Linked DNA regions of Drosophila melanogaster. The protein of the gene in region 1 interacts with the protein of each later gene in a pairwise test. Each region holds a gene or a part of one and is shown on either strand. Other genes may lie near its edges. The genes, in order: CG14708, ApepP, CG14641 and natalisin.

The links.
Region 2: the proteins of CG14708 (region 1) and ApepP interact in a two-hybrid assay, tested with the Drosophila melanogaster proteins (one large-scale study listed by BioGRID).
Region 3: the proteins of CG14708 (region 1) and CG14641 interact in a two-hybrid assay, tested with the Drosophila melanogaster proteins (one large-scale study listed by BioGRID).
Region 4: the proteins of CG14708 (region 1) and natalisin interact in a two-hybrid assay, tested with the Drosophila melanogaster proteins (one large-scale study listed by BioGRID).

What each region holds. Positions count from the first base shown.
Region 1 is NT_033777.3:11,550,087-11,556,999, reverse strand, and holds CG14708 (uncharacterized protein), read right to left. Parts: upstream 2,856-6,913; 5' UTR 2,812-2,855; coding exon 2,194-2,811; 3' UTR 2,131-2,193; downstream 1-2,130.
Region 2 is NT_033779.5:16,905,861-16,914,402, reverse strand, and holds ApepP (aminopeptidase P), read left to right. Parts: upstream 1-3,984; 5' UTR 3,985-4,094; exon of another isoform or gene 4,095-4,218; 5' UTR 4,219-4,245; coding exon 4,246-6,087; 3' UTR 6,088-6,174; downstream 6,175-8,542. Other genes in the region: tweek, read right to left, coding at 1-2,699, 2,763-3,731, 6,280-6,895, 6,965-7,826, 7,890-8,022, 8,088-8,542. UniProt on the Drosophila melanogaster protein: Catalyzes the removal of a penultimate prolyl residue from the N-termini of peptides, such as Arg-Pro-Pro.
Region 3 is NT_033777.3:4,228,976-4,236,922, reverse strand, and holds CG14641 (uncharacterized protein), read left to right. Parts: upstream 1-4,580; 5' UTR 4,581-4,680; coding exon 4,681-5,937; 3' UTR 5,938-6,144; downstream 6,145-7,947. Other genes in the region: Gel (gelsolin), read right to left, coding at 119-159; abs (abstrakt), read right to left, coding at 1,935-3,794; DhpD (dihydropterin deaminase), read left to right, coding at 7,780-7,878, 7,935-7,947.
Region 4 is NT_033777.3:14,415,420-14,425,019, forward strand, and holds natalisin (natalisin), read left to right. Parts: upstream 1-3,173; 5' UTR 3,174-3,372; coding exon 3,373-3,902; intron 3,903-5,110; coding exon 5,111-5,484; intron 5,485-5,550; coding exon 5,551-6,308; 3' UTR 6,309-6,436; downstream 6,437-9,600. Other genes in the region: cv-c (crossveinless c), read right to left, coding at 1,015-1,614.

The DNA.
Region 1 (6,913 bases):
CCGGGGAAGGTGGATGCGGTGGCTCGACTTGTCGTAATGGGTCTGCAAACTCGGATGCCTGGGTAGGTAATTCAATTTTGTGCAAATGCTTGATTTGCCATTTAGCTGCGAGACCTAATACTGCTTCTTCAGTTTTGCCTACACACAGCAAAAATATTCCCACGCAAATGTTATGCATTGTTAATGCCATGCCTTTGGGAGCAGCACTAGTTGAAGGTGTTTAAATTAATGAATAGATAGTTAAATAATTCGTGCGAGCGAGCAAATTGCAAAGGCCAGGAGTTTCAAGTTGTCTTTAGGCCTTTAAAGTTTTGTATTCTTATGCGGTGAATTTAGTTGTATAGCATTAATATAAGCATTTGGATTTGCTTATAACTCAAGTTTTTCCCGCCGTGCTTTTCCATTTCAGCGTTCACTTCGTCTTAGGCCTACTTCATCTGCTCCAAATCTTGGCATCGTCGGCTTCTCTTCGGCCACAGTTCACATAAGACTTTTGTCATTATATTGTTAATTTGTTTTAGTTGTTTTTTAATTTCCTTGGAGAGTCGCAACCTCGTTGAGACTAACAACATGCGTGCGGAGGACTCGCATGTAGTGGTGTTCTTGTTAGGATTGTGGAATGATAGGTGGGTGGCTGGGTGGCTTGGGTGCGAATGAGGATGCGGATGTGGATTTGGATTTGTGTGGGTGTGCTAATGTACTGTGAGTGGATCTCTGGTAATAACGGCTAAAGTAAAATGCTGATAAAGTGGCGAATGTTTCGGAATGTGCGAGTGTGTTTGTGCGAGCGAGGATTCTGCTGCGTGGCTGCGATGACAGGCAAAAGCGAACACAAAACGTTCATTTCCCACATGCACCATTATTCGTTGAAACCCGTAAATTTCACCGAAAACGAACAGCAGCAGTAGTCGCAGCAGCATCAAACAGCAGCAGCAGCAGCAGAAGCAGCATCAGCACAAGCAGAAACAGCAGCAACGTGGCAGCACCAATCCAAGGAGCTGCTTAACACGAGAATAATGTTTAAAATGTTTATTATGTGTGCAAGTGACGCGAGCTCCTTTCCCCCCCCCCCTTTCCATGCTCCTTGGTATCTTTCCCCCTTTTGGATGACAGGCCCAACCGACAGGCCAATACGCACACATAACTTTACACAGACAGAAAAAATGGGTGCAGGGTTAGAAGTTTGACATTTCAAAATGAGCAACGTGCACATTCAAGTACAATCCAACCTTAAGATCATAATTAATACTGCAAAGAAACTTGTCACACTATATATAGTCAATAATAAATTAACTTTAAATATACAAAACAAATATTTCGTTAATTTCCTTATAATTAGGGATAAGTATTAAAGTACAGTTAAGCCATTAGTATAGTGAATTATGTGGACTTTCAGCAACATCTTTATTGAATACTACCATGTCGTCAACAAATTTCAAGGCCTGCTGCAGATCATGACATAAAACCGAATTTTTGTAATTAGCATATTATGCTGGAAACCACTTTGCAAATTCATAAGCCCTTTATTTCAAACATTCTGCTGGGCCGACGTAAAATCCTTAATCATGCGAACATGAAATCAAATCCTGACTGCGTGTAACCGCTTTGCGTACGAAATACTGGGTGTTTTGTCTCTCTGTGCGCAGTCATATGTGTGTGTGCGTGTGTGTGTGTGAGTGTGCGTATGTATGTATTTACATGTGGCAATGTTGATTTTCGTTGTGCCAGCGCCGGATGCGAAACAAGTAGTCCAAATAACCCGCAATAAGCTTTTGTCACGATTAACAAGGCTTACGCAAATGTGTGTCTCTGTGGTGGCAATGTGACTGCTTCCTCTCACTCGAATTCCGGACAACCTAGCCCCCTCTTCCACCCTTGAAAACCCCTTTCCACGCCACTGTTTCCAGCATAATTACATGCACGCCATGCTCGCCTTGGTGTGTGTGTGTGTGTGCGTGTGCGTGGGAGTGGGTTCGTGTATGTGAGCCATATTTTAGATTAATGATGGCGTCGACTCGTATTAGGCAAATGAAGAAATCGACATCGACATGCGGTTGAGGAGAAGTTGAACCTGCCACCTCTTTTGGCCACGTTTATCGTGAAAATCATAACCCTTAACGAACATCTGTTGGATAATTACATATTTTTTTTATTAGCTGTAAGAAACTTCAGCATTCTTATAGCATTGCTGTATTATATGATTTTATATTTTGCCACATTAGAGCGGTCGACCAAACGGATAATTGCGGTGAAGACCAGGTCGGAGGCCGTTCTGCGATTGCCGTTGATGAACATGTCCTCCAGATGATCGTAGATGGACTTGAGGCGACGAAACAGACGCTCATTGGGCTCCAGCTGCATTACCTCCTCGTCCTCATGGTAATTGACATCAATCTGAAACGCCTTTTCGTTGAAAATGGTCTCCGGCTCCACTTCCCAACTCATTAACTTGATCAAATGGTTGAGCATCGGAAATGTGTACTTCTTATTGGTAAGGTACTTCTCCATCTCTTTTACGAATTGCTCATGCAACTCCTTGGATTTTGGTTGTCCTGCTGGAGCAGCAGCAGGGATATTATTTGCTTCATTCTCTATTTGCTTCATCTGCGACACCTCGTGCAGTAGACGATAGTCATCGATCAGGGAGCTCCTATCCAGATTCACGGACGCCAGCTCCTCGTCGGTCAACTTGTCGATATTGTAGAGACTCGACAGCTCGTTATTATTTAGTTTGCAAATGCCGGCAAACTTCAATTTACGCGAATTTGGATCGGAAGCCAAATCATTTGCATTATAATGCTGCTCGGCCATTTTAGTGATATGCTGCTATACTGCACTATATATTTAACTGTACTATAGTAAAGGATTATATTTGGTTTTTTTTCTTTTTCAGCTCCGACTTTGTCAACTTCTGATTTGTGACTAATGCGCCGAGATCAAAGTCAGAGGCTACTGAGACGAATTATTTGAGTGCGAAAGTTAAACATAGGCTGACTAGATTTTAATTTATGAAAAGCATGTCCTGTTGGGAGGATCTTGGCTTGGGAACTAGGAAACTCCTGAAACTGGGGCCCATCCTGTGCGGTTTTCGCAGCACTTCCGCAACAAATTTGCCACAATAATAAGTGCATATCATTATGCTGATTTAAGTGGGCACCCCACACCCAAACCCAAACCCACATATACCCATCCATAGCGAGTTATTGCCCGAGCACCTGACCTCACCAACACAGCGAAAGGAGCTCAGCCCCCGAAAATCGCGCCCCCAAATATATGCTACACAGGAATCGCGGGTCTGGAGCAACGAGTTCTGGGCAACGGCGTGCATGCAAGTGGGTACATAAATCTTTGTTTAAAGACACATGCACAATGTAAGTTAAATTGGCAATAACGTGCTTTCTTTTATACGCCAAGCTCACAGCAACACATACTTACACACATACTGTGCCCACAGGTGCGGTCAACCGAATAGCAATCGCAACTTTCGTCACTTCAACTTTCTTAATTGAAAGTCGAAAACATTGAATCGAATCTATAGATGCTCATACTTGCGGTTCTATTGCTAAAAGTTGCTCTTTCAAGTGACAGATAGTTGGGAAATTGTCTTAATAACTACATAGAAACTTAATTAAATCTGTTTATCAACCGCAAGAAATTTATACTCGAAACGAGTGTAAAAGTGAAATATATTGTCAAAACTTGCTAAGAAATTTTCCTTGAAATTTAGTTGCCTAGTTTCTAAGCAGCGTTTTCCGTGGCACATTATTATGGTGCATAAGAAAACATAATTAATTATTTATGTTTATATTACCCAGCCCCAAAAACCCTTAAGTGTGCGCGCCAGTGGTGAGATAATAAAATGTTCATTTGCAGCGCTATTATATTTTTTCCCAAAACTGTAGCACACACATACACACGCTACATAGCTACGTAGTACGTAGTACGTACACACACCGACATGCATATATATGCAGATGTAGATGTGGCCGTATACATAACGGTAACGGAACCTTGTTTGCAAGGAAGTAACAACCTGTTTTCACCCCGTAGTTGGTGGGTATTCGTCGCGGACGAAGTGGGCGGCGCTAACGTATCCTATGCCCCCGCCCACTCTGCTTTTTGTTGCTGTTATGCTTTAATTATGCCCTTGTCAAAAGGTGGGTCTGGGTCTCCGGCCCGGCGTGACCGTAACTCCAGCTCCCCCCCAGCTCCTCCAGCTTGATCCCCTTGGCGCGGGCTTTGTTCGAGCGGATATAAATTTACTATATGGCAGCGTGTGCGAAGGTTGTCTCATAAAATTCGGGAACACACATCATCGATTCCAAATACGAGGAAAACCTGCAGCATCATCAATGCAGAATGGCGTGCTCCTCTTCTCATCCTTTTGAGAGCCGTTTTTCCTTCCAACATAGCTTTCATATTTCCATTGCCCTCCTCCTTGAAAAAAGAGAAGAAAAACGGAAAAAGTAAATATAAAAAAAAAAAACTAACTAAAAACCAACAAAAAAAGTTCCTCTCGTTCGCCACTTGAGCTGCTATTAAAGTCGGTTTTGGCCGAGCGAAAACGGAAACACGATTTTCAGCTTTTCCAAGGCGACATGCAATCAGCGGTCGCAACTTGCTGTTGCATCCACTTGCTACTGCCAACCGAAAGTTTTGACTTTTAGATGGCCAGTAATCAGGCATCCCTCCGCACTTGCCACTCCGCACTCTTGGTCAAAAGTCAAATACGAATTCATTTGAATGTGATTGTTTCACTTATCATAACAGGATTATCATGGCCAGCAAAAGTATTACGATCGTGCTTTGTAAGCATGCTGTAAGCATGAACTTAAGTAAATAACAACTTCGAATCTACTTTTTAATCCTAATTTAATAAAGAGATAAGTTAATTTAACTTTCCATCTCTCATTTGATATTTACTCAAAGCTTTTTAATAAACCAATTTGCTGAACACATCTCTTAAATCTTTTAAAGTGCTCTAAAGATACACCCATCATATGGCAGATAGCGTGGAAAATGGCTAAAAATCCAAATGAGCAGGGACACATGGAGGGATTTAAGTCAAAGTAGCTTGTAAGCTGATAAAAACAATTTACAAGGTACTTTTGCTACTCACTGGAAATATGTTAGTACTGTCTTTTATTCTGGATGTCACATCTAAGTGGTTTATAAACGAACTTTTTTGTATAAGCCATTTCGGTAATTGTGAAACTTCAGTGGCACAAACAAAACAAAAAAAAAAAACAAAAGAAAACGTCGCGCCAAAGTTAATCCCCAAAAACAAGACATCGTTTGGCTGTAATTCAAGTGGAGTCTCGGAATTAATGAATCAACTCCTTTGCTTCTATGATGAACGACATCTATATTTAAATATCGTATTTATATGCTACCCGTTTTGTATATTGCTGCCATGCCACGCAATCTTATCGGGCCAAGCGAGTGCTTATCTCATTAAATGCCAGGAGACGTCATTGAATCATTTTACAAATGGCTGAGTACATGTCTCATATGGACAGGGGCACTATATGCCCCTATACACGACTATAAAGCCTAGAACTTGCACACACACACACACACACACACACATGCACGCACACACACATAGATACGGGGGCACACGCACACAGCGCAATTGCTGACAAATGAGATAATTTACACGCTGAAATGAAGCCCATAAAGGCTCATTTAAAATTCAGCGGCGTCTGGGGCATAATTTTTTTTCGCTGCTTTGCTTTTCTTTGGCCCTTTTTCCATTTCCACTTTTCTACATTTCCACCGCCGCCATCGCCGCACTCCACTTTTTCCGTTGTGTTTTGTGTTTAATGGTTCCTTACCATGACATACGTGGCTGGATATTAAAAGTGGATGGATGGGTGGTAGGTGGGGGGGAGGGGCTCTGGAGGAGCTCGGCAGCTCGGCAAATAGCTCTGGGGCCCCCAAAAAAGCAAGAGAAGAGACAGCGACGAGAGGCAGAATCTTTATTAGCATACGGCATAAAAATGTTTATTAAAGATGGAAGGAAAGCGAGGCAAGGCTCGACTGAACGGAAAAGCGGAAACGGACGAGCGGGGGGTCGAAAATAAATGAAAACTTTCCCTCGCCGATTGTAAGAATCACAATTTAGTTTTTCTTTTTCCGGTTTGTACGCGCCACGCCGACCGGCTTATTGTAAATCGAATTGAAGTTTTTTTCTTTTGATTAAGCTCCGAAATAACTGTAGGGCGTTATGGCCCCTCCCGGCCACGCCCACTTTTAGCTGCGGGCAAGTTTTGTCATTTGTTGTGTTTGTGTGTGTGTGTGTTATTTTTTATGATGTTCAACTTAATTTTATACAAATGACCTTAGGTCATATCACCATTTATATCCGTCAATCCCTTTTCGGTATAAGTTTTATATTTGGCTGTTTTCGTTTTATTCGCCTAGATTCGTCCGAGAGTCCTTAGTCCTTCGTCCTTCGTTTGTCTCTGTTGCTTTTAAGGGCATTTTTATGTTCGCTGGAAGCGGCAACTAACAGCCGAACGAGTCCTGAGCTGTCCTAAAAGCCTTTAGCCAAATATCTTCAAGAGACAGGAGCATCAGGAGCAGGAGCAGCCGGAGGAGGAGCAGAAGTAGGAGGAGCAGGAGCCACAGGAGCAGAAGCGACAGACACAACAACGGCAGTTGGATGGGTTGAAAGGATTCGAGCGTCGAATCCCTAAATACACTAACGCAAGTCCTTCGATAATAGAATTTAGGAGCATTTCACGCAGACTTGCCAAGAACATTTGTCTTCAAAACAAACCACTTTACACGAAATATATGTGACCATAGATATGCGAATTCCCCTGCAAGAAGCTGCAGGATCTCCCCAGCTTTTGGCCATTAGTAATTTCTCTTGGCTTATTGCACATGTGTAATAGCATAGAAATGC
Region 2 (8,542 bases), on another chromosome or scaffold:
AGGGCTGATCCACCCAGATAGATCCCAGCATACATGTTCTTGTAGCCTGTGCTTCCGATCGAAAGGCGTCCATCCGATTGAAAGTCTTTTGTGAGCCAGACAACATTGCCACACACATTGCCAATGTTCATTTGCACATTTAGTTTGGTAAAATTAACTGCAAAGATGACCAGAGTCTCCCAGGCAGTGATTTGGTTCTTTTCAGAGGGAGGCGTTCCCGACGATTCGGCGCTAGAGGATTTGCCCAGATTTTTCAAGTGTCTTACAGCGCCAAAGTGTCCCAGCTGCTGCTGCTGCTGCGACGGTTGTCCATCAAAGTCGAGGCGCATGTTATCCTTTGCCCTAGAGGCATCTTCATTGGGCGTTGGCGTGGCAGGTGGGCAGCCAGTTGGTGTCTCTGCTCCATTTCCCTGTTGCTGCTGCTGCTGTTGCTGCACACTAAGGTCACCCAGGAAGAGCCTTCTCACAATCCTCCTGCGATACCAAGCTTTGGGGAACGCTAGGATCTCAGTCAATCTCCTCATGTCGTACTTAAAACTGGCACTACCAATATCCACAATGGTAGAGAACCGTATTACGGCTCGCGATTGATCAAGAGATCTCTTAGAACTGGGCAGAGGCTCAATGTACACCTTTCTGCAACGCGTAATGTGGAACTTGACGAACTCCACGTTGATACTCAACGAATCCTTCCTTTCACTGTCGCTGAGAGGTGAAAACTGTGTCTCCTTAGAAGTCTTTTTGCCACCATACGGATGGAAAATGAACACATTGAAGTCGGCAAGGCAGCCTGTAACACTAAGTCCTCCAGTGGGTAGCTGCTGATCTGGTTGGGTATGACCTCCTGGCTGTGCTGAGTTCTCCTCCTCGCTGCTCCTCTTTGAACTGAAAACAATATCCAAACTTGGCAGCTGAAGCATACATTCTACTCTAGAAACTGGCAGACAGCTAAATCTGAAGGTAGAAGGTTGCATATGAAAGTAAACTATTACATCCACCGGAAATGAAGCATAAGTCACATAGTTGGCAGGCAGTATGTCCAGATTAACACCTGTGTTGTGGGAGGGAGTTGGCGGAACACTACTCGATTGCCGAGCCGGAATGGGTTCTAGAGTCTGCTCTAGGAATTCCAAAATATGGGGTGATATGATTGTTTCCTCTGGTATACTCTGTAAAGTCATCCAAGCGCACAAAGTTGCTCGTTTGCTGCCCATTCGTCGTCCAGTTGGCAACTGATCTCCGGTTAGTTGCTCGGCCAGTGTTTTTGACTGATAATGAAGTTTTACATCCAATCCTGGGATGTGGAAGATGGTGAGATCCGCCAGCAATGCATTTGCATTGTAGCGCAGCTTGCTCTTGTCCCTCTGCCTTCTCGAGGGAGTTGGACTGCCCCAATCGTTGCCTATGCTTTTTTCCCGCTTATGAGATTTTACACTTGAAGCTGGCACACCACTTGTAGCTGCTCCCGATCCACCAGCGTAGCCTCGCTCCTCACCAGTATCCTTCGTATGGAGCACGCATTTTCCAGAGTTCACAAGCACCTTAATGTCCAGTTCAAAATCAATGTTGGGTTCCGGCTGTTTCTGTCCATGTCCATGCTTGCGTCGCATTTCCACGGAGGTGCCATCAACATCAATCTCACTCGGCGTGATATCCCCTCTCCAATCAAGCTCATTGTCAGCTGTCTCCGTGTCCGTGTCCGCATTGGGCAGTGAAGTCTGGCGCATAGCCTCTGTGAAGGTGACTCGTCCAAGAGCATTAACTCCCCCTCCAATGACTCCTCCTCCTGTTGTATGTTTTAAGGAAGCACTGCGGGAATGACAGGAGGCCGGTGTGCTTTGCAAGCTAGATATCTCATCATTGGACGCAATTGTGTCCAGTCTTCTGCCAGTATAGCTAACATTGTCCAGTGTTTGCGGAACGCCAACTCCACTCACTGAAGATCCAGATCCAATGTAAGAATGCGAGCGACCGTAGGTCTTCAGGGACCTTCTCAGCGATGGTCTTTTCCACTTCTGAATCATATCTCTACGGAAGTACTTGTAGCAAATGGCTTGTAGCTCTTGGAGTCGTCTTTCCTCGTGGGCCACGGTATTATGTGATGCTCCGAGAGTACGCAGATCATTGATAATCTTCAGCTGTTCGGCCATCTCCTTCTCCATCATGAAGGAACGCTTCTTGGAATCGATTGTGGGATCAAATACAAAAGCTGGCAAATTGTCGAAGTCTCCTCTGCGCCGCACAAACGTATCTCTGCAGCTCTGATCTCCTTCATCGCTGTCCGGTGATTCCATTTGGGTCTCATCCTCTTCGAATCCCGTGAGCATGGTAAGAGTGTGGCCAAGAGAACTCAGCTGCTTGCCAATATTCACATCCAGGTGAATATCCACGCCCTCCATTTGCCACTTGACATTCAACAGCCACTTGGCGTTCTCACCCTTCTTAGCTGCTGTAGTGCGGGAACACACCTCGAAGGTTCCCTCGGAGACAACGCAAACGTTCATAATGGGCTCAGCGCTGTTGGGCTTCCAGTCATCTAGATTTGTTTCAAAATCATCGGCAAATCGCAGGCACAGACCCTGGAACTTTCCCTTAGACACTAAAGCTCCCGAGTTGCAAGCTGAGATAATCGTGTTCTCCAGCGTGATTACAACCGCGCCCTTGGCATCAAAGTCTTGGTATGAACGGGAGCCAAAGGTCTGCAAAAGAAAATTTATGTGGTTCAAATAATCTTTATATTACAGATTTAATTGGATACATACCGTAGTGTTGACCTGTTTCAGGGGCAAGCAAATGCCCATGTCCTCCACGGTGAGTTGCAGGAAGAGCGTAGACAAATTTGAGCCTGCAATCTGGCCAAAAGCCACGCGATCGAACACTTGTGGATTCTGCATATTTTGGTTCTGATGCTGTCCCGAATACTGACTAAGGAGACTGTGCTGAGCGTGCTCGTGGCAGAGATTCGCACGCTTCTCCGCCCAGTACTCGTAAGCATTCTTATAGTTAAGCCACACGAGGATCGCCTTGTCCACGGCAATTGGCTGAACGTAGACCAGTGGTCTCTTCAGGGTCAGCAGAATCAACTCCTTGTCTTCGTTGAGCAGTTCGTCTTGGAAAGCATTCCTCAGGTTAATGGTAGTGTGGAAAAAGGCGTACTGCTGGAACTCCGGCTCGGCCTCGTCGAAAATCACATTGCGTATAATCTGACCCAGGGACAAGTTGAAATCTATGTGAGCCTTAAAGAAGAGCTTACGATTGCTCATATCGCCTAGGTTCTTCACACGGTTAGACAGCTGCAGCTCCAGGATTCCGGTCTCGAATCGAACAGCCGAGGAGCAGGGTGTAGTAGCCGTCAATTGGATGCGTTTCATGGAAATGTTGATTGAGAAGAGGATGCGCTTAAGCGAGGACTCCTGTACTGCTCCGGAACTATCGCCACTCTCTTCCGTCCACAGGGGCACAGGTTTCTCTCCTCCGTAAACTTTCTGCAGAACCTCGTTGATTTCGCGCATAAACACCTTCTGCACAAAGACCAGATGGTTTAGGAGATCTGTGGTCAGGCAGCGCTCGAACTCGCCGATCTCGGCGCTGGCGTTCACGTAGCCACCTTGGCGCAGGACAATGCCCTCGACATTTTCCGTGTGATCCTGGCGGTGGTCTGGAATGTATTCCGCCAGAACGTGAACAGGTGGCAGGCCAATACAAGCTTCCGATGGAAGGTTCATCTCATTCTAAAAGGAATTACAAAGAAAAAACACATTTAATTACATCTACAACATTTTTTAAGATCTTAGTTGAATTCTTTTCAAATACTGTTGCTGAGCTTCTTTATAAGAGTTATACTCCTTTTAATTATACATTAAAAACATTAATATGGGATAAGTTTCTTAATGAAATATTTAAATTGTTCCCGCTACACTTTTAGTGTTACCCTTTTAGGCAAAAGCTAAAAAATACTGAAAGCTTGGAGGCGATATGAAATAATATAGTTCAGCATTTTTGACGTGCTATTAATTGCAAAATTGAATGTGTCAGTGCAAAAAGATTATAAAATATTTGCACCCTGTAGTTTAAACAATAGTTTGACAGCCTTTGTAAGTGTGACACTTATATTCGCCCGATTATTTATGTATTTATGGGATACAAGAAACTCGATTACGGTTGATTATCTTATCGCCCCAACTGGACTACAAATTCTGTGTTTTTTTTTTCGCTCAGTTATTTTGCTGCCATTGAGGAACCACAATGAAGAGGAGCACCACCCAAATTCTGACCAGGTTGAGGGAGCTAATGCTCCGCGCCCAGGTGGGCGACTCCTGCGGCATATCGGCATACATTGTGCCCTCGGACGACGCCCATCAGTCGGAGTACCAGTGCCAGCATGACGAGCGACGCTCCTTTGTGAGTGGTTTCGATGGATCCGCTGGCACGGCGGTGATAACGACGGAGACCGCACTGCTGTGGACCGACGGTCGTTACTATCAGCAGGCGGAGAAGCAGCTGGACTCCAATTGGGTTCTAATGCGGGATGGTCTGAGCGCCACCCCGTCGATTGGCGCCTGGCTGGCGAAGAATCTGCCCAAGGGCAGCTTTGTGGGCGTGGATCCTCGCCTGTTGTCGTTCCGCGTATGGAAACCCATCGAAACGGAACTAAGCTCCGCGGAATGCCAGCTGGTGCCCATCGAAGGCAACCTCATCGACGAGGTCTGGGGTGAGGATCAGCCACCGCAAACCTCAAACAAGATTATAACCCTGAAACTAGAACATTCTGGCGTAACTATCGCCAAAAAATGGGACGTGGTGCGCCAGCAGTTGAAGGAGAAGAATGCTGATGCCCTGGTGGTCAGTGCTCTCGATGAAATCGCTTGGTTCTTGAACCTACGCGGCTCGGACATTGACTTCAACCCCGTCTTCTTCTCCTACTTGATTGTGACCAACGATGAACTACTGCTCTTTGTGGACTCTGGCAAATTGCCCACTGATTTTGTGCAGCATCAAAAGGAGAACAATGTGCAGATAAGCGTTTTGCCTTACGCCTCAATTGGCATTGAAATCAGTAAGATTGTGTCGACCAGGGAGTCAAAGATCTGGATAGCACCCACCAGCAGCTACTATCTAACTGCTTTGATACCCAAGTCACGTAGAATTCAGGAGGTAACGCCGATTTGTGTGCTGAAGGCCATTAAGAACGATGTCGAGATCGCAGGCTTCATCAACAGCCACATTCGCGATGGAGTCGCTTTGTGTCAGTATTTCGCCTGGCTTGAGGATCAAGTGAATAAGGGTGCGGAAGTCGATGAAATGTCTGGTGCCGATAAACTCGAGTCCTTCCGGTCGACAAAGGATAAGTACATGGGCCTTAGCTTCACCACAATTAGTGCTTCGGGACCCAACGGCTCTGTTATTCACTATCACCCAAAGAAGGAAACCAACAGGAAGATAAATGACAAAGAGATTTATCTGTGTGATTCCGGAGCTCAATACTTGGATGGTACTACGGATGTGACGAGGACCCTTCACTTCGGTGAACCCACTGAGTTTCAGAAGGAAGCCTACACTCGCGTTTTAAAGGGCCAACTGAGCTTCGGCTCCACCGTATTCCCAGCTAAGGTTAAGGGACAGGTTCTTGACACTCTAGCGAGGAAGGCCCTGTGGGACGTCGGTTTGGACTACGGACACGGAACCGGCCATGGAGTAGGTCACTTCCTAAATGTCCACGAAGGTCCCATGGGCGTAGGAATTCGACTGATGCCCGACGATCCTGGTCTCCAGGCGAACATGTTTATTTCCAATGAGCCTGGTTTCTACCAGGACGGAGAGTTTGGCATCCGTGTCGAGGATATTGTTCAAATTGTGCCAGGCCAGGTGGCACACAATTTCTCCAACCGAGGCGCCCTCACATTCAAAACCATCACCATGTGCCCGAAGCAAACGAAAATGATTAAAAAGGAACTTCTATCGGATGCGGAAGTAAAGCTGCTCAACAGCTATCATCAACAAGTCTGGGACACTCTTTCCCCAATCCTATCTCGCGAAGGAGACGAATTTACTCTGTCCTGGCTCAAAAAGGAAGTTCAGCCCATTTAATTGCATTTTTAACCCGTTATTTCGGTCATCTTTAACTAATATTCTTTCCCATGCATACACTTACTCTTTTCTCAAGACTAAAATATTAAAAAAAAAATGCTTTTATATACCTTTTAAAAGGGCTTATCTTAAATTTGTACGCTGAACAAATATTATGTAAAAAAAAAAAGTTTATAAATGTGTAAAGCTCACCTGAATTTTGGTATTAAAGCTGAGCGTGTGCGTGGGTAGGTCGATAACAAACTTTGCCCTCTGCCCAGTTACTCCCATGGAACTAACATGATTCATGCGATACTGGGCCTGCAGCGAAGGAAGTAGCGCAGCATTGATGGACAGACTCTGCAAGAGCACATTGAACTGCATGACCAGGGGCTGAAGCAATCCATTCTGGTGCTGTGCTGTGCCTGTCTTGGATTGCGCCATGTGTGCTGCCCGGCGAGCCGCCTGTTGCGGCTGCTGCTGGGCACCAGCTCCGCCGGAAACAGTGCGCTCCCGCATTTCGCTGGCCACTCCAGTTCCACTGCTGGCTCCAACTGAGTTGCGGGCATGGAACGGAGACTCAGGCTCCTCGGCGGTATGCGAACGCATCGTGGACCGACCAGAGTTACGCTTTACACGCAGCTCCTGTAGAGTGGACGACAACTGCTTAGAGCTTCGAGTCATCATTCCATGTAGGGCCACCGGATGTTGCGGAATGTCTATGTTAACAGCACCAATCGACAGCAGGCCACTGTTCTTATCCTTTCCACGCTTGGAAAGGCTTGAATAGAGAGTCTGGCTCTTACCCACGGTTACCTTTACTACGGTTCTGAAATGAAATACAAACGAGTTTGAATACCAATCACACAATCAGAAAATCAGGCAAAGTAGTGCTTACTGTTGACTGGGAGCCACTCCTTCGAGCAGCACAATCATGGCTCGTCCCACTTGACCAGTAAGGGAGCATTCCAAGGAGACAGGACGAGCCTTTTTCCTCCAAGTGGCTGTGCTATTAAGAGTGGTGATCTCCGATTCCAACTTGAGGCCAGAAAGCGTGGCCAGCAGGCGAGTCTTGTGAATCTTGGCCACACCGAAAACTATCAGGCGGGTTCGTTCCTGAGATGAAGCATCTACCAGCAACATCTCCCTATGTTGGGGCAGAGGTGTTGGTGCACTGGCCAAGTCATCATCGTCGTGCGCAAAGCCCGCAGACTTGCTTTTGTGTTCGTTCAACGAGCTCCTTTGGACCACAGTCTTGGTCTCCGGCATTGTACCATACAACTCTAACAGGTGGTAGATGGTCTTCCAGCAGTTGGGTGTCTCTAACATCGGCGCCATCGTTGGCATTCCAGCTTTGGTCAGCGTGTTCTGGTAATCCCCACTGACACTGGTGGCACAAGCACCATTCAACGAAGCTTTCGACTCCGTGGACATTTTGAGGATATTATGTTCGTGGAGCGACATTGTTGGACTATCCCTTAGTGGCGATGAACTGGACTCATTCAAATTCGTGTAGCCCAACTTGCCCTTCACGGATTTCCCAGTGGATCTAAGTTTTTGGGCGAAGCTCTGGGGTCTGTTCTTGGCATTTGGAGAAGGTGTCAGTTGAATAATTGGAGCCAAGCCTCCGGGACGCGGTCTTGCCAACATTGTGGGCATCGTTTCGTTGAATTTGTCATAGCGTTCATCTGAATAGTTTTCAGCATGGTTATAGCGCTCGGACATCGAATTAAATGGCACGATGTCTGTGGGCTCAGAAGCTGAAAATTAGAATGATTAATAGGTTTAAAAATACAGTTTGAATGCAGTGATCGTTAACTTACCCAAGCTGCACTCGTCTTTGGTTTGGCTCTTTTTGCTTAGCTCAGGCTGATCGTGAAACTCGTTCTGGGCATCCTTTACGTTTTGATACATATTGCAGATCTGATGTAGCAGCCTCAGCAGCGGCATATTTACCTGAAATCCATAAAAACATTTTTATGTAGCTTATGTGCATTTTAAAGTACAGATTCTCCACCCACCTGCTGCGAGATGAATCTCACATTTAGACTGAAATTGATCACAGTACTGGTGTGCTTCTTTAGCTGGCGACGCGACATATAGATAACATTCTGTCGCGCCTGATCCACCATCCCATCGGACATTTTTAAGACTTCCAACTCCACGCCCACTCGCTCGCATAAGAACAAGGGGGTGTCCATCATTATGGAGGCCCTGCCGCCGTTTGATTTCTTGTTCAGTTTGGCTGGCTTTTGGGCAGAGTTCTTTTTGTCACCCGCCTCGCTGACCACAATGTCCACCCGAATAGAATCAAAAGTGCCGATCAAAGAGAGATTTGTGCCAAAGTTTTCCAGCGAAGAAATGTCTGCGTTGGAGAACTTGTTGATCATTTGTTGTGGCATCACTCCCAAGCAGGTGAGAAGTGGTTCAAAGATCAGATGGGCATCGAGCAGCTTAATGGAATCCTGCATTATGC
Region 3 (7,947 bases), 7.3 Mb from region 1:
TTTTCTCGAATTGGTGTTAGCGATGTCGCGTACGACTGCTAAAGTTTTGTTAAAATTCAGGAACTGAGTACTTATCACCCCAGAGCTTTCTGGACAGCGAACTGCTCGCTTGCATTACCTGGAGAGGACTGCCATTGTGGCGGCGCCGGAGGCATCCATTTCGAGTCTGCCTCTTCTCTGGTCGACGACCGAGGGTTCCGAGGAGCTTTGTTTATTGTTGCGATAAGTATCTGTGAGTCGCAAATAGCGTATATGCCCGATGTGTTTGGGTACGCGATCTTTTGTATTGGCCTTTATTTTTGTCGTAGCGTTGGTTTCTAGTTCAAACAGCGGCAGTTGCTCTTCCAGATTTAAGCAGAGTGTGTGGAAACTGCAAGTAAGAGAATCATCAGGGCAATAAGAGAAGGAAAGATGTTAATATTTTCGAACGAATCGCTGAGCACTGATGTTTAACCGCCAACAAGTACGCGTATGTTATATACAGCCACCCAGAAAACAACGTCTTTAAATAATAATAATTGTCTTCAACAATAAGAGCTTCCCCAAACTCGTTTAAGCTAAACTTCCTGATGGATTTCTTAAATGTGAGTTGTAGAATGCTAAATGATACTTAATATTTCCCGAAAAGTTGTTCTGCTCACCAGCTCCTCTCTTGTATGATATCATGTTTGTATCTCGAGTGCGCTGCTTGATCAGAGCATAATGTTAAGGAGAGCAAAAAAAAAGTGCCGCAAGCGTGTAATCGCATATTGTCATTCAGTTAATTAGTTTCACCTGCGTATGAGATCACGACTGTTTTCGTCAAGCGGCAAGCCCATTTGGCCCTTCCTTGCAACTGGGTCACAGCCAAAAAAAAAGAAATCAGTTTTTATTGAGAACTCAGTATGGGATGGAATCATATAAGATTTTTAAATTATGTCGGCAAGCACATTAGTTCCAATTTGTAAAGGCTTGGGAGCCAGTCAGGAGTACGTCATACGTACTTCGAAATGATACCTATTTGAAATGAAAGTGATGGGCCACAGCATGTTCGGAATAATATTCCGAAGCCGGCCATAAGTTGGACCAGCTTGAATTGGTTGGATAAAGGCAGTTACCCATTTTCCAGTGCCAAAATCATACAAACGGATTCTTGGACAAACCGCGCGCATGGGTAACATTTAAACATTCAAATGTGTATCCAATTATTCAAATCCAATCCAAATGCCAATGAAGTTGGGGATAATTTAACGGAGATAAATTAACCAAATTTTGTAGGTACCATCAATTTAATTTGATCATATTATACAGTGTTATGAATTTATTTTTTCAAGAACACACAGCTTGGTAAAAAGCTAGTGGCTTATCTAATATAAAACCGACCTCAGTTCCGATGATTGTTTTCAAAGCAGTAGATAAGACAAATCAACGACCAATTTAACGAAATGAACTCAGCAAAATAATAGCTTTGAAAGTTGTTAATGTCTATATAATCAGCCTTCAATTGAAATCATTTAGGCTAGTCTGAATTTTACTTTATACTAGAGTAACCTACTATTCTGGGCGATGTTATTACATATTGCTGATAAAACATCATTTAATTTTTGGGGCACACTTACTTGTAAGTCAATACGATCTGCGCAATTTCTCACGATCCCAGTGCGATGATTGAATAAAAGCGCTTCGAACGACAAGCATGCAGAGCTCTGCCTCAGACACTAAACGAAAGCCAAAGCTCGTCTTCGCTTTTATAATATTTTTCTTAAGCCCGAAACGCGCGCGCGTCCGGCCGAGATCGCTCTCTGGGGTTGCTGGGACGATTGATAAGCAAAGCTTCGTGCGATAAGCAGCAAACTGAACTTAAAACAGAGTGAAAATAAATTTAAAAGTTCCCAGAAAAGTATGTATGTATACTAATCTATTTATTACTATTTTAATTTGGTGGTGGTAGTGGTTTAGTAATCCGCAGCGGTGTTAGATAGGTAGTCGCGACGTCCTATGTTTGAAGCTTGCTTGTTCTGAACAGCCTCAAGTTTTGGGCACTCCGTGATGCGATGGCCCAGACCACCACAGTAGGTGCAGCCATGCGAGTCACCCAGGTCCAGGTGCTGGTGTTCGGTCTCAGGTGCCAGTTCGTCCAAGAAGTCCGGGACCTCTTGCTTGCCCTCGATTAGCAGGTGCTTCAGGTCGAGCAGAACCGACTGCTCGGTAGTCTTGTTTATCAGCGTCGTAGCCAATCCCTTAGTGTTGGAACGACCTGTGCGGCCAATACGATGCACATAGTTTTCAATATCGTCCGGCATGTCGTAGTTAATAACGTGTTGCACGTTAGGGAAGTCCAGGCCCTTCGATGCCACGTCGGTGGCCACCAGCACATCTTTTTTGCCCACGCGGTAAGCATCGACTGCCCGCGATCGTTCTTCCTGATCCTTTCCGCCGTGAATAGCCACCGCCTCCACGCCTTTCAACAGCAGATACTCATGTATGCAGTCTACATCCTGCTTCTTCTCAGCAAAAATGAGCACGGGCGGCGCGGTCTTCTGTAGGCAGTCCAGCAAATATACCACCTTTGCCTCTTGCTTAACGTACTCAACCTGTTGGGTGACGTTCATTGACGCAGCACCTGCGCGACCCACATTTATTGTGACAGGCTTCACGAGAGCTGATCGAGCAAAGTTCTGGATCTTTTTTGGCATGGTGGCAGAGAATAAAAGTGTCTGTCGCTGGCCTTTGAAGAAAGAGAATATCGTACGAACGTCCTCTTCAAATCCCATGTCAATCATGCGGTCAGCCTCGTCCATGCACAAGTACCGGCACATGTCCAGCGTAAGGATCTTCTTGTCCAGCATATCCATTAGACGACCAGGGGTCGCCACCACAATATGTACGCCGCGTGAGATGACGTCAAGGGCCTCGCTGACCGGCAAACCACCCATGGCCAGGCAGGAACGAATCTCAGGCATTCCGCATGCCTGGAGGTGCTTGCTGTAGTGTTGAATTATCTCGTGTGTTTGCTTGGCCAGTTCGCGGGACGGGCAAATGATCAGGCCGTAGGGGCCCTCGTTACGCTCAAAAGGCAGACTATACTCCTGTTCCAGGGCAAACATGATGACTGGCAGCACGAAGACAAGCGTTTTTCCAGACCCAGTGAAGGCTATTCCAATTAGGTCGCGGCCGGCTAGTACAGTGGGCAGGCCTTGCACTTGGATTGGGGTCGGGTTCTTAATGCCTTTGGCCGCTAAGCCGTTAAGTATACCTTTAGGGAACTTCATTTCCCGGAAGCTGCGAATTGGCGGGCTGGGGGTTTCTCCCTCCACTAGGATCCTCAACTCGTGGCGAACGGCCTCGCGCTCTTCCTCCGACATTTCCCGAATGTAACGCGGCGGTTTCCAAGCTGTTTTAATAGGCTGCTCGTACTGAATCCCCTTCGCCAACTCTGCCACACCCATAAGGGCCTTCTGCTGAGCAATGCTCTCCATAATCTTTTCCTCCTCTCGCAGCTGCTTTTCGACGGCACTCAACTTTTTGGCCTCGGCAATTTTCTTCAGTTCTGTGTGCTGGTCCAGCAGACTAATGTTGTACTTGCGTCCCCAGGTCTCGACATCGTGCGCACCCTGCGAGTCGTCTTCATTCTCATTCTCGCTTGACGACTTGGGCTGGGCCGTTTCCGAAACCAGTTGCACGATCCTGCCCAGCTTTATCATGTGCTGCTTCTTCCGCTCCTTCACCGGTACGTATGGCACGTAGTCCTCGTTGTCCAGGTCGCCTTCCTCCGAGGACTTAGACGACCTCCGATACCGCTTTACGTGCGCCATAGCATTCGATCTATATTTCTGATTTTTGTTTGTTTCGTTTTCGCCTAATTTGACTACAACAAAGGCCACCGTACGACGTTTTAAATTAGGCGAGCCCGAAAAATACTATATTCTAATGGGTATCGATTACAGTTATTAAACAGTGATTCCACTGACAGCTTCTTGCTTATGATATATTCATGGCATGCAGACCGGATAATAGTTTTTTTTTCAATTTGGGCAAAATCTTTCGATTTCGTTTTTAGGTGCTCTGGTTTTCTGAGTTTGAGATTGAGTCTTTCTTTTTTTGTGAAAACCAAGCAACGTGAAAAATGCAACTTTTAGCGCGAAGGTTGCCATACTGTTGGTGAAATATAACAGGCAGGTAAAAATACTTAGTAAATATATTTAAAGCAGGGCCAAAAGTGCTGTTCGTAAATAATGATAATTAATTGAATAACATAAGTGGTCAGAGCGCAGTGAATACGTAACTGCGAACATCGGAATTAAAAGTGCCAAAAACTCTGTGTAAATCGCCCAGAAACATTTTATATGAACTTATGCGTGCTATCAAAAGTGTTTCAGGAACATTTCTGTTAAACGGTTAGCGAACATGAATAGTACAGAATAGTAGAATATCGTATTGATCGGTTTCGGATCAGTCGAATGCAATATATTTTTGTGTGCATTTGGGTATAGATATATATTCTAAGCAGTGTGAATATGCTATTAAATTCAATAAATTATATCGATTGCTGACTTTGAACTAACTGTCTGCTTCTGGCTCAACTTATCGATATTGGTATATCACTCGCGACACACCACCATTTTCGACAAGTAGAAAGCGAATGAGCATTGTCTAAATTTAGCTCGGATTTTAAGTGCAAGGTACATAAGTGCCGCTGCTATGTCTATGTCAAAAACGACTAACACCTATAACCGGCAGAACTGGGAAGATGCTGAATTCCCAATTCTGTGCCAAACTTGCCTTGGCGACAATCCGTACGTGCGGATGATTAAAGAGCGGTTCGGCAAGGAATGCAAGATATGCACGCGTCCATTCACAATATTTCGATGGTGTCCTGGTGCTCGTATGCGCTTCAAAAAGACGGAGATATGTCAAACGTGTGCGCGCCTGAAGAACGTGTGTCAGACCTGCCTCTTGGACCTGGAGTACGGACTGCCGATTCAAGTACGAGATGCGGCGCTCAAAGTGGCTGACAATATGCCACAAAGCGACGTTAACAAGGAATACTACATCCAAAACATAGACGCCCAGCTGCAGGACGGAGATGGCACGGAGGCGGCAGGAGCTGTCGGTCGATCCCTCGCCGCCAACGAGATGTTGTCCAAGCTTGCGCGCACAGCACCCTATTACAAAAGAAATCGGCCGCACATCTGCTCCTTTTGGGTTAAGGGCGAGTGCAAGCGTGGAGAGGAGTGCCCATACCGCCACGACAAGCCCAACGAGCCGGACGATCCGCTATGTGAGCAAAACATCAAGGACAGGTACTACGGACGCAACGATCCTGTGGCCGAGAAGATCATGAAGCGTGCAGCCTCGCTTCCCACACTCGAGCCGCCGGAGGACCGCAACATCACAACTCTCTATGTGGGGAACCTTCCTGAAGAAATCACGGAACCCGAGCTGCGAGATCAGTTCTACCAGTTCGGCGAAATTCGATCAATTGCGCTGGTGCCACGCCAGCAGTGCGCTTTTGTGCAATACACCAAAAGAAACGCTGCCGAGCTGGCTGCTGAGCGGACCTTTAATAAACTGGTGATCCAGGGCCGGAAGGTGAGCATTAAGTGGGCTCACTCTCAGGCAAAGCAGGGCACCGCTGCAAAGACAGACAGACGCTTCGACTTGGCCGGCATTCCACCGCCTAGCGCGAAGCCCAACGACTACTTCAATCTTCGCCAAGAGCAAATCAATGTCATGCCCGCCGGCATGAAGCTGCATCAGTTGCCATCAAATCTAGTTCCGGCGTCGGCTTACCAAATGTATGGTCAGCCTACTTATGCAGCTCCCTACGGAAACGCCACTTCCACAGCCCTTTCTTCCTCGGGTGTCAATTTGGATTCCATATCGATTCCTCCGCCACCGGGTCAAGTACCGTATCCAAGTCAGGACGCCAGTCGGATGGGAGCTGTTAAAAAGTAGGAAAACCCTGTGGTCTACAATGGTTCCAATTCAATAAATCATTTTTATAAAATTAAATACAAACTTTTTAAAGTGGTCAGTTCCATAAAAATGACTTAATATTAATAGAATTTATCCGTATGGACGAAATTGTTTTCGATTCGAATTGTTAAGAAAAAACACCAAACAATTAGAGAGGAGAAGATAATAATAAATGATTTAAACTCTAAAAAAAAAAAGAAAAAAAGAACAAATTTTCGTCACAAAAGCTTATATCAAAACTTTTGTACATATGTATGTTGATGTGCGTTCGTCACTCGTTTTTACCTTTAATAAATGCTTTTCTTTGATTTGGACGATATTTGGGATTAAAAAAAGTACACCAATGCACATGTACATATGTAAGTTCATTCTTCAGTATTTATAGGGGAACTTAACATTGGGATTATGACTACCTCCCTGCATTCCATTCATTCAGATTTCATCAGCTCATTACTGATCATTAAAAATCTCGATCAAATTAATCACAGGTTAATTTGTATTAAAAAAAAAAACCATGACCTGAACCTATGTTCTAGGAAATCATCGCATAGCGCAAAATCAAAATCACGCATAAGCGCTATAAATGATAGCTCAATTCATCTCTCTACACCTCTTTTTATTCACTTAATCCTCTATCAATTTTAATGAAAAAGTGAAATTTCAGTCATTTATTAATAAAAATGTATTTTCTTAATTAGACTTATTTAAATTATGCATAGGATTTAAATTTAAGAATACAAATACATATATATGTATGTGAAATTCCAGAGTCTTTGGCGTCCTGTCCTACGGAGTTAGGACCAGCTTCTTTTCAGTTCACATGTCCGATTTACCTTAAGGTAAAATAATGTATAATTATGTATACAAAAACGAGTTAAACCAATTTACCTTAAATTATCGTTTCTGTGAGTAGTGTTTGTTGCTTATTGTAAAATAAATCCATTACCTGTAATTATTATTGAATTAAATTCCAAAATATTTACAATTTTTTTTTAAAACAAGCACTCAAAATCGCGTCTACTTCTCACAAAAGTCTATAGGCAAGTGATCTGCAAACATGTTCTATGTACATTACAAATTTAAAATTTAAATTTAAATTTGCAATTAAATAAAAAATCGCATACTGAGACCTTCGGTTAGAAATTAAAAAGCGATGAATTTGTTTTCAAAATCATCGCTTATTCCTCGTTATGATTAAGAACATTAGCATCGCTTTAAAATTTTAAGAGAGAGATGATGTAATATTTTTTAATAGCGATGAATTGTGGGACTACAGGGTAGGTAAAGGTTACATATGTACAGGTGCGAGCAGTGCAAATATGTTTATTCTAATGAAATCTTAGACTAACTGTAAATTATATAATGGCTATATTTCTTTTACCCGTCACTCTTACTCTTCTTTACTTCCAGAAAGGGGGTTTTGTCTTAGCTAAACATATGATTAATGTATTCTATGTTTTTTCAATATTCATTCCAATATACAATTTTACAATTAATGGTTTTGCAACAGCTATTTTGAAGTTAATTATTGCTTGTTTTGTAGTTTTTACCGATAAATCACACGTGTGCAAGCGATCGCTTATTAAAACAGTAATAAGTAATAATATTTAAAGTAACGACCAAACGATTGGGAATAATCTTTCCAGCGATTTAAACCTTGAAATAAAAAGTAAGTGTCATCCCCGTATGATTATGCGCACATTCGCAGGGCGACGCGTGCACCTAGGCGAGAGTTTTAAAACTTGTTCAGCGGATCTTGATCATTACATTCTCAAGTCTGTCGTACAGCACGTTTAAGCCCGCTGATAGTAAATCAGAGCAATGGCAACCGTGTTTCTTGGAACTGTCGTGCACACCAAGTCGTTCAGCGAGTTTGAGTCCTTTGAAGGAGGATTCCTGGCAGTGGACGACGCTGGCAAGGTAGGCAATTTAATGCCCAGAACAAAACAATGAGCAATGAACAATTTCGCTCACAGATAATAGGAGTGG
Region 4 (9,600 bases), 2.9 Mb from region 1:
GTTATCACAGAGTTGAACTTGCAGCATCTTCATAAACTTTGCCCTTTTTTCCTCCGCGACCCTACGATTCCAATTAGAGAATATTTTACGACTCTATGCTCGGCAATCAATCTCCAATTGTCTTTCAATCTAAAGCTGAGTAAGAACTGCACTAATTAGAGCATTTTATGATACATTTTATGGCGCTGCGAAGCCCCCGAAAATGCAACTCCTATAAAACTTGCCTACTTGTCTATCTTATTCAAACAGTTCAAAGTTTAACTCGTTCAAGTGCCAGCCACCGAGTGACGACTGTCTATCAACAGACCAATTCAGTGGCCCCCACTTTCATCTTGCTGCTCATCCTCATCATCATCTCCGACTCCTCTACTCCGTTGCCCATAAATTTCACGCGCCTCAGTTGCGCATCCGGCAAATGGATGGATGGACGGATGGATGGAACATATGGCAGTTCTTGAAAGAACACATTCCTCACTCACCGAATTTCTGGGGGAAGTTGGTCCCTTTTTGGGGGCATGCCGTGTGTGTGGGCCCCCAAAGTTTGTGTTGCTGCCGCCTGTGTGTGTTGACAACATTGTTGTGATTCAGATTAAATGCCTTCGTCTTGAGCGCATTTTATCTAGCCCACATTCATAAAATATGCTTCGCTGTTTGCTCGCTAGCATGTCGAAATTAAGGCAACCAGAGATTACACGGGAATTTCAGAGATTTGAGATTAGGAAATCTGAGCGTAAGCTGCAGAACATATGCATACACCAGCGGTTTAACCTTCTTCGAAATTTCAAATGGTAATTTGCAATTTAAAAGTTATGCAAATAGGCATAGATTACGTGTATGTAAAATTGCTGCTGAGCTCTAATTATGCGAAGAGCTTCAATATTTTTTAAATCCCTTGAATGAAATTGAGGTAGACTGAATTTGATACACGAAACTTTTTAAGGATGTTATCCCTGAAGATGTGGGTCTGCTGCCTCTTACATCTTATTTACAAAGTATTTTGAACTGTGTACTCACGTGCTTCTCTGGTTTCAAGACGAGTCCGTTCTGTTGCTGCTGCTGCTGCTGCAGTTGATGTTCCATGATGGATGATGAGCCCTTGCCGAGTCGACTCTGTATGGCCGCCGAGGCAGCTGCGGACAGGAGGATGGGCGCCGTCCTGGAGGTGGGCGAGCTGCTGGCCGAACCGGAACCGGATCCTTCGGCCAGGGCCGCCAAATGCGGGGGCAGCTTATCACCGGCGGCCATCAGGCTGTCCAGATCACGTAGGAACTTGCAGGCCCAAATGTTAACATCGTCCGCCTGGACAGGTGGAGTGGGCATGGAGTTCGTCGTGGTTTTGGTGGGACTGAGGGGCGGCGGCGGGAGTGCCCTTAGTTTAGTTGTCACTGGCTTGCCCGATGTGACTGCTCCAGCTCCTGCTGCTGTTGCTGTTGCTGGTGTGCCCGATGTTGCTGTGGTGCTGCTGCTGTCAAAGCCGCTATCTGATTCCGTGGAACGAGACAATTCATCAAGCTGCTGGACTCCTGCCTGCGATAGCCGCTCCTCCAGTTGCTCACGGAGCTGCTGCTCCAAACGCTGGACCTTGCGCAGCTCGAAGACTTCGTTGATTTCCCGCTGAAATTAGAATGGCAGTTGTTAGTGAGGTGCACATGGAGAAATAATGGATATCAGGGATTTAATTTTGCTTTAAAAATGTAATGTTTTGGCTCATCTATATAGCAATCGGTAAACAAACAATTAGACATGCTATTTTACATTTAGCAGTTCCTAGTCCACCTATTAATCCCCTTCGTTGTTAGTTTTCTGTCCATGTATGCAAGACCCATAAATTCCGCACTGTGGCGGAGATTAGGTTTTGATTAGCGCTCTAATTGCGCACATATATCAAGGCAATGGTCTATTAATCGCGCCCAAAGCGCCACATTCGCGTCCACAAAGACCTTCTTCTAATGGCCCCCGACTATGATGTATGTTTGCTTAATTTGGCCCGCAAACAGGGACAAAAAGAAAGGCCAGGACACGACCGCAGGAGACATCCCGGAGAGACATGGGCACAATCAAAGACAAATAAATTAGAACACGACCGCGGAGGCAGAAAAAGGTTTTCCACACTCGCATCCAAACAGAAAACTGCAGCCACGAACTCCCAGCGAAACACGACTCGAATGCAAATAAATTGAAATGAAGCAATTTGTTAGCCAGATTAAACACAGCTAAAAAAGACGAACCAAAACCAAAAAAAAAAGAAGCACTGGAAGAGAACTCCGTATGGTCGCCAGAGAAGATCAGAGACAGATGGAGCCCACAGGGCTAACAAAGTCAGCGAATTACTTAATTAAAAATCGTGGCCCAAGACCCAGAGAACCCAACAAACTGGTCCCTGTTGCCATAGAACCCTTTCCGAAGACCCTTCTTCCCGCATCCCCAGTGACATTAATAACGTGCAGTGCTCATTACTCAACAATTGTGTTTTTGTTTGCGAGCCCTTGTTTTTCCCCCTTTTGCCACAATTTTCTCCCTTTTTTTCGTGGCTGCTCCTGTTGCCAGAAGGGCAACTCACAGACAAATGCGATCGAGCATTAGCAGGCAATAAATTCTCAGAGGTAGTCTATTGCTTCTGGGGGCTTGAAAGAAAGCCGCATACTCTAAGATCTTATCGACGGGGGCCACTCGGGCATTGGCGAGAAGTTGGCTGGCTAATTTGTGAAGGCGGTTCTGGGTTCACAGGTTAGGCAAACAGAGCCGGACACACCAATCGAGTTTGGTTCAACTGACTTCAGTTGATTTCGAACTCAACTTGTGACGTATGAGAGAGTTGGCTTGGGGACATCTCAAGTGGGTCGCCATATTTCCCAGTTCGACGCCGTACAATGCAATTTCTTTTTATTAATTTCATGCTAGGACGCATATGACAAACAATTGGCAATGCCAAGGAATCATGCACTGTGAAAACATAATATTTGTTCTTTTGATATGAATGAGTTCCTGGATCTTTTAAAGGCCCTTTTCATTTCTAATTCCAATTTCTCTAAGTGTTGTCATATGTGACCAGGGGTCTTTCGAGCGCGACAAGCAGGCGTATTCCCAAAACTCCGCGGTCCGCTCCTTTGGCCTTTGGATCTCGTTCTCGTGCTATAAAAAGCTGGACCGCTGACCAGCAACTTTCAGTTTCAGTCTCTCCGTTTTTCTAAGAGCCAAAAACGCAGCGGATGCCGCGGACTGGCCGCCTGGCTAACTGGCTTCTTCAAAGTGGCCGACGAGGCTGGAGTGGAGTGAAATAAAAATTGGCACAACTTCGAGAGACTAAAGTTGGAGTTGGAGTTGCTGTGTCCAAAGTCGCTCCTCGATCCTCCGACCAAGGCGGCAGACAGCATGAGGCTCACGTTGGCCTGGCTCAGCCTCTGCCTGGCGATTTATTGCGGCGGTGGCCATGGCCATGGCAATGTGGTCCTATCTTTGCCACCATCGCTTATCGCCACGGCCACGAAGGCGGCCTTGAGCCACCAACGGCAGCAGAAGCAGCAGCAGCAGCATCAGAAAAAGGATGCACGCGTCCTGTTTGACAGCCCCGCCGATGCACTGCGCGATATGATGCACAACGGCAATGGCAATGGCAATGGACCCATGGATTCTGGAAAATTTAGCCTGTCCGATGTGGAGCAACCAGCAGCGCAGCGCTCTGAGGATTTTAATCGAAACGCATATGATTTAGGGGCCAGGCAATCAGCGCCGCAGGAAATTGCAATGGGAATGGAACTGGGCATGGGTCTGGGTCTGGGGCCCAACAACTATCGCACCACGCCCCCTCATCGGTATTGGGGCCAGCGTTGTCAGGGTCGATCCGGCGGATCTGGAACCAGCAAGTGTCCGCAGGAATACTATCGCACCATGCTGGCGGCCAGGTAAGGAGTCCAGGATGTGGGTGGCAAAGTGGCTGCCAGAGATTGGCCAGCAGGTTCAAGGCTGCACAGAAGGAAAGTCGAGAAAGTTGAGCACCTCGTTTCCGCCTTACATGTAAACCGATTTGGCAGCAAAAGTATCAATTTAACCCACTAAGGCCCAAAGTTGTACATTTTTGAAAAAGTTATGGTTTCAATATTAATTGTTCCTTAACGGATATCTGAACGTTATTTTTGGCAAATATTAAAACATATAAATCTGAAAACCCACACCTTTGGCAAAAAGAGGGTTAATGCTAACCCTTTTCAGGGCGCCAGGCTCTGCCAAAAAATAAAAAGGTTAACCTTCTCGAGAGAGGGGCTACAAATCGTCGACAATTTGGCTGTCGACTGGGAACACGCAAAACCAATTAATGGGCGTGAAAAAATCAGTACCGACGATTGCAGTTTTGTTTCAAGTCAGAGCCAGGAGACCGCCGCCACGTATGTTGATTTATTTTATAAAATAACAACTGTCAGCAAATTCATTGCCCCGAAACGAAATCGAAACGAAAACTGCATTACGAGTTTCACTTTTCATTTCGGCGAGTGAGAAATATTTTGCTCGCCCAGCTTTTGTTTTTATTTTAAAACATTTCTTTCCTTTCTTTGCCGCGGCTTGTAATTTAAGCGGAATATTATGTTGTGTTGAAAAATTATTGGGCGCTGCTATTAAAATCGAATTAATCATCTCAGGGCTGGGACCTTAACATTATTGTTTTCTGTTCGCTTATGTTTGCTCTTTGTTGATTTGTTAAATGTTTGATTAATTAACCATGAGCCCGCATAACTTTCGATTGTTGTTGCTGCTCGTCTAATTTGTAATTTTACACAGTAATTTCTGTGGAATTGCCTCAAATTGACTTTTGATTGAATCGGATCAGCCTGACAGCCTCGGATAAGCGAAGAGTTTAGGCGTTTTTTTTTTTTTTTATTGGGGTCACAAGTTGTGAGTGGGAAAAAGAAGTTCATCAATTTGGTGTCGTCGGCTTCAGTTAATTTCTTGAAAAGAGAAACTCTGGCCAACAAGGGTAATTGAAACCCATGGCCAGCAACCCACGCTCAAGACCAAAGAGAAAAATGTGAAAATGTGCTGTTCCTTAAAGCGAACAAATGATGGGGCATTAATCAGAGTATAGAAACCGTAAGCCCTTATTATTCCTCACCATCAGGAACAAAGAGGCGCTGTCCCGCCTCCACATGCAGCTGAGTTCGATGCAGGATTCCGATTCTGGGGCCAGCTCCTCCTCGGATTCCGAGGAGGAACATGTCGACGATGAGGAGCAGAGCAACAACGAGGTCTTCATGCTGCTAACTGGCGAACAGGATTTGATGAAGTTTCTGCACTGGGCCATGCAGGTCCTGTATCCCATTGAACGTCCTTTGGGCAATCTGAGCGATGGAGCTGCCGAGAACTACTATCCAGGAATGTTTCTCTGGAAGAAACTAAATCTTTCGGGCCATCTGGAACCCCCACTTATTGTGGATGAGCCCCAGTATGTGCTGGTACGAAGGGAAAAGCTTTTCGATGGCTATCAATTTGGAGGTGAGTGTATTTTAGAAACTGCTATCACTATGGATAATCTACTATAACTCGACTGACTTTTTCCAGAAGACATGAGCAAGGAGAACGATCCCTTCATACCGCCTCGAGGTCGCAAGCACAGCGGATCGCTGGATCTGGACGCCCTGATGAACCGGTACGAACCCTTTGTGCCCAATCGCGGCAAGCGCGACAAGGTCAAGGATCTGTTCAAGTATGACGACCTGTTCTATCCGCATCGCGGCAAAAAGCATCGCAACCTCTTCCAAGTGGACGATCCCTTCTTTGCCACCCGGGGCAAGAAGCTGCAGCTCCGGGATCTTTACAACGCCGACGATCCATTCGTTCCGAATCGCGGCAAGCGGCACTTGACAGCCAGTGCCGGGAAATTGGGTGAGACGATGGCGGGTGGTGGAAAATGGCCAGATGACAGCAACAACTACTGGCCGCTAAGAATGTCAACGCATAAAATTAATGGTTACGATCAATCAGTCAGGCCATCACTGTCAGTGGAGGATGCTGCTGCATCGTTGGCTTCTTGGCGACTGCCCGCTAATAGATTGCACTCGACAAGATCAATGTCAGCCGATCTGCGGCAGCAATTGCTCTTGCCACATGTCCGCTTCATTGGCAATCCGAACATGCGCCAGCAGCAGCAGCAGCAGCAGCAGCATCAGGTGAAAACCTCATCCTGGCAGGCAGAGGAGCGCCTCCGGAGATCCATCCTGGCCCCGGGCGAATCAAACGATGCCCACGAGACACAATTAACGCTATCGCACCCGGCTAATCCACATTTGGTCACCGATACGGACAACCTAAACATTTAAATGCGGCGAGCGAATTTCGTTTTCGGATTGGATTTATTTGGCTTTTCAGTTTTCGGCTTGGGGCACTGTTTTCCTCGACTCATGTAGACACAACTATATGGCACACAATAAAGTACAGCATGCAATTGATTTTGAGAGAAATCGCATCGATTCGTAGCGAACTGAAGGTTGATCGGCTACATTGCCCTTGGGGACGCTTTTTCAGAACCACACTGAGAGAAAATCTTTTAACTTGGTATAGGAGTCCTTAGGTCAGCACTTAAGTTTTGATTAAAGCCTTTAACCTAAAAAAAAAATATTTATTTAATTTAATTTTATATATTTATATTTTTATCACACATATTCGTATTAGAATTTCTTCTAAAATCGATTGACTTGTATTTTTTCCCGTGTTCTCTGCGAAGGTCTCGCCCCGTTGCCCTTGGCAAAGTTGTTGCAGTGCGAGTATTCCTATTTTAATTGTATTCATTGGTTAATTTATCGCTAAATGCAATCAGTATTGTGCCCAGCATCGAGTCTTGACTCCGTTGAAGCAGCAGAAACCCTGAAACCCAGCTGCAGACAGTCGGGCGTGGCACGCAGTTGATGCCACATCAGAGATATGCTGGCAGATATACAGATACACAGATATTGTAGAACAACTGCAGCCGTTTGTAAGTCCGGCAGAAGAAAACCGAAAACAGCTGCTGAGCGACTGCAAAGGTCAGCCCCACAAGGGCCATGTAATCCCCAAAACGCACATCAATCACGCGAGTTTAGCTTATTAGCCAAGCATTGAACCTTAAACAAAAAGCGGGAGAAGCACTGAATTTGTAAGCCACTGTGAACTGAAATTTTCCACTTCAACCGATTTCTGACATTGACATTGACCACATCGACATCAACGTCAAAATATTTTTCTTTTTTTTTTCATTTTTTTGGTGTTGTATTTTTGGTAAGCCAGCGGACCTTTTGCCAGCTCGCTTTGTTTTTGAACAAATGACCATTGAAGGTCATAGCCAGATCCAAAAGCGGGCAACAACAAATTGGTTAAATAATATCGTACCCATGTGCTGCTCCATCTCCATCTCGATTTGGCCTCTTTATTTTTCGTTTTCTGGTAGCCTGACGTCCGAGCGATCGGTCCGAAATCCCCTGAAGATCATTATAATTTCAATGGCACTTCATATGGAGTGTGTATATGCATATATGTGTATCTATGTTTGGTTTGGGAAGAATGCAAGCAAAGCCTGTCCACAAATACTATACATTTTCTTAGAGTTCAACTCTCGGCTGGGCAATGACACTTGAAGTGGTTAGCTCACGTGCAGCTTTTTCAAAGCCAGAATGGCTGAAATCGAGTTAGAGGTACGCCTTCGTGGAGGGCACAGTTTGAGTTAGGTAAGCTTAGTGCTAAACAGCTGTGACAGCTTCAGTAGAAATCCCGCAGAAGCCCTCGCATACCGTTCTTACATAACTCAAAACAAAAATCTTTAAGTACTGCATTCAGTTTTATTGGCAAAAGGTGGAGTGTAGGCAGCAGTGGCTTCGATTGTTTGAATTTTGTAAATATTTGTATAGGTGTATCTTAAAACCATACTAATACTTATTTTTTTTTGTTTTTTACACATAGGTCATGATGGTTATTTAGTTGATTTGGTCATTGTTTATTGTATTCTCTTCTAAGCTTTTAATTTATATTTCAGTAAAGAGTATTAAAACTAGTTGTACAACTTAGGCAATCATGGTAGCAAATCCTGTGTCAGGCGTGAGGATTGTAAAAATTCAATTCAAAACTCCTAAGATCGAGCAGCAGGCTACTTTGTGTCACTTGTGGCAAGTGGCTAGAGGAAAAGAAAGTCCGGGCTCAGAAGTGCACTCACCGCAGAAATGCGATTCCCAGTTGTAAGCTTCGATTTTGCATCAGCAAATTGGCTCAATTTTTGTGGCAAGGCCTTTGGTTTATTTTACTTTATTTTGACTCGCTGGCTGCTGATTTGCTTGTCGGAAAATATCAACGCATTGTCAGCGAGCCGAACTTGACAACTGGCAACATGCAACGCTGCAATATTGCAACATTGCAACTCTGCGGCATTGCAACTCTGCTGCATTGCAACTCTGCAACTGCAATTGTAACGCGATCAGCATGAGTAGCTGGCAGCCTGTGACAGCGGCTTAATTGCTGTCTGCAATTATGATTGCTGCCGGTGAAATGCTAGAAGCCTTTTGTCGCTTCACTTTCATTTCAAAGTATCGGCTTCTCAGCTTTTCAGCTTCTCCCACAGTCTTTCTTCTGTCTTTTTTTTGTACTGATGATTTTCTAACTCCATTTGGCATCCTCGGAGGCCTGTGGGATTTTCTTCGGTTTAGCGAGATCAACTCCTGGTTGACAAAAATAGTAACGTGCAGGCAGGCGCTGCCTTTTATTGCCATTTGTTTTGGCCCGTTCGCCGTTTGACGTTGACAAAAAAACGTCATTTGCAAATTGGGCAAAGACAACTTTCTCTAGGCAGCTGCGCCGTCGCATTTGCAGTCGCATTCGCATTCGCCAAGTGACAGAGCCATTGCATAAAGCCATATAGATAAACCTAAGGCAAGTCGTCGCCCACATTCATTAACAGCATTCGCATAATTGGCTAAAGCAGATACTTTTCGTGGGTTCATCGAACCAGCCAGACCTGGCCAAACCCAAACCGAAAAACAATATTACAAAAATCGAAAAACTGAAAACTAAATCCAAAAAACAATCCCTGGGCGCAGCAGCAGCAGGCTTACGTCTTAATTTCTCATCGCCACTTTGTCAATATCTATAATTAAAATCATTTGAGAACACACGCAAACGGTGCGCCAGATTTATCAGATTTTCGAATGGCAGAAAGGCAATATTTATACACGTTGTCATGCTGAAAGCTTGATTGATGCATTAAGCTTACTTAGCCGCATAGTCGATGCTGACGAGCGCCAATTAATGGCTGCTTAAACGGGAAAACTCAGCCACATCCAGTCAGTCAGTCGGTTTTCCATTCATCCAGCCAGCTTGTCCATGTTAAATTATGGAAAATCTGTGCAAAAGCCAGCGCTAATTGATGCAGGAAGCGCGACGAAAAAAAACGAGTTGCCATCGCCTGTCATGGATTCGCTTCGTTTCGTTTCGGTGCGTCTTAAATGGGTCAGGCGGTGATTACCGCCTCCACTAACGCATTTCATAACTACACTTGGAAAACAGGCTAACCAATTCAATTCAAAAGCAAGTCAAATGGGTGTTGATCTGTTTAGGACTTTATTGCAAATGTATGTAATCAAATAGAAACTT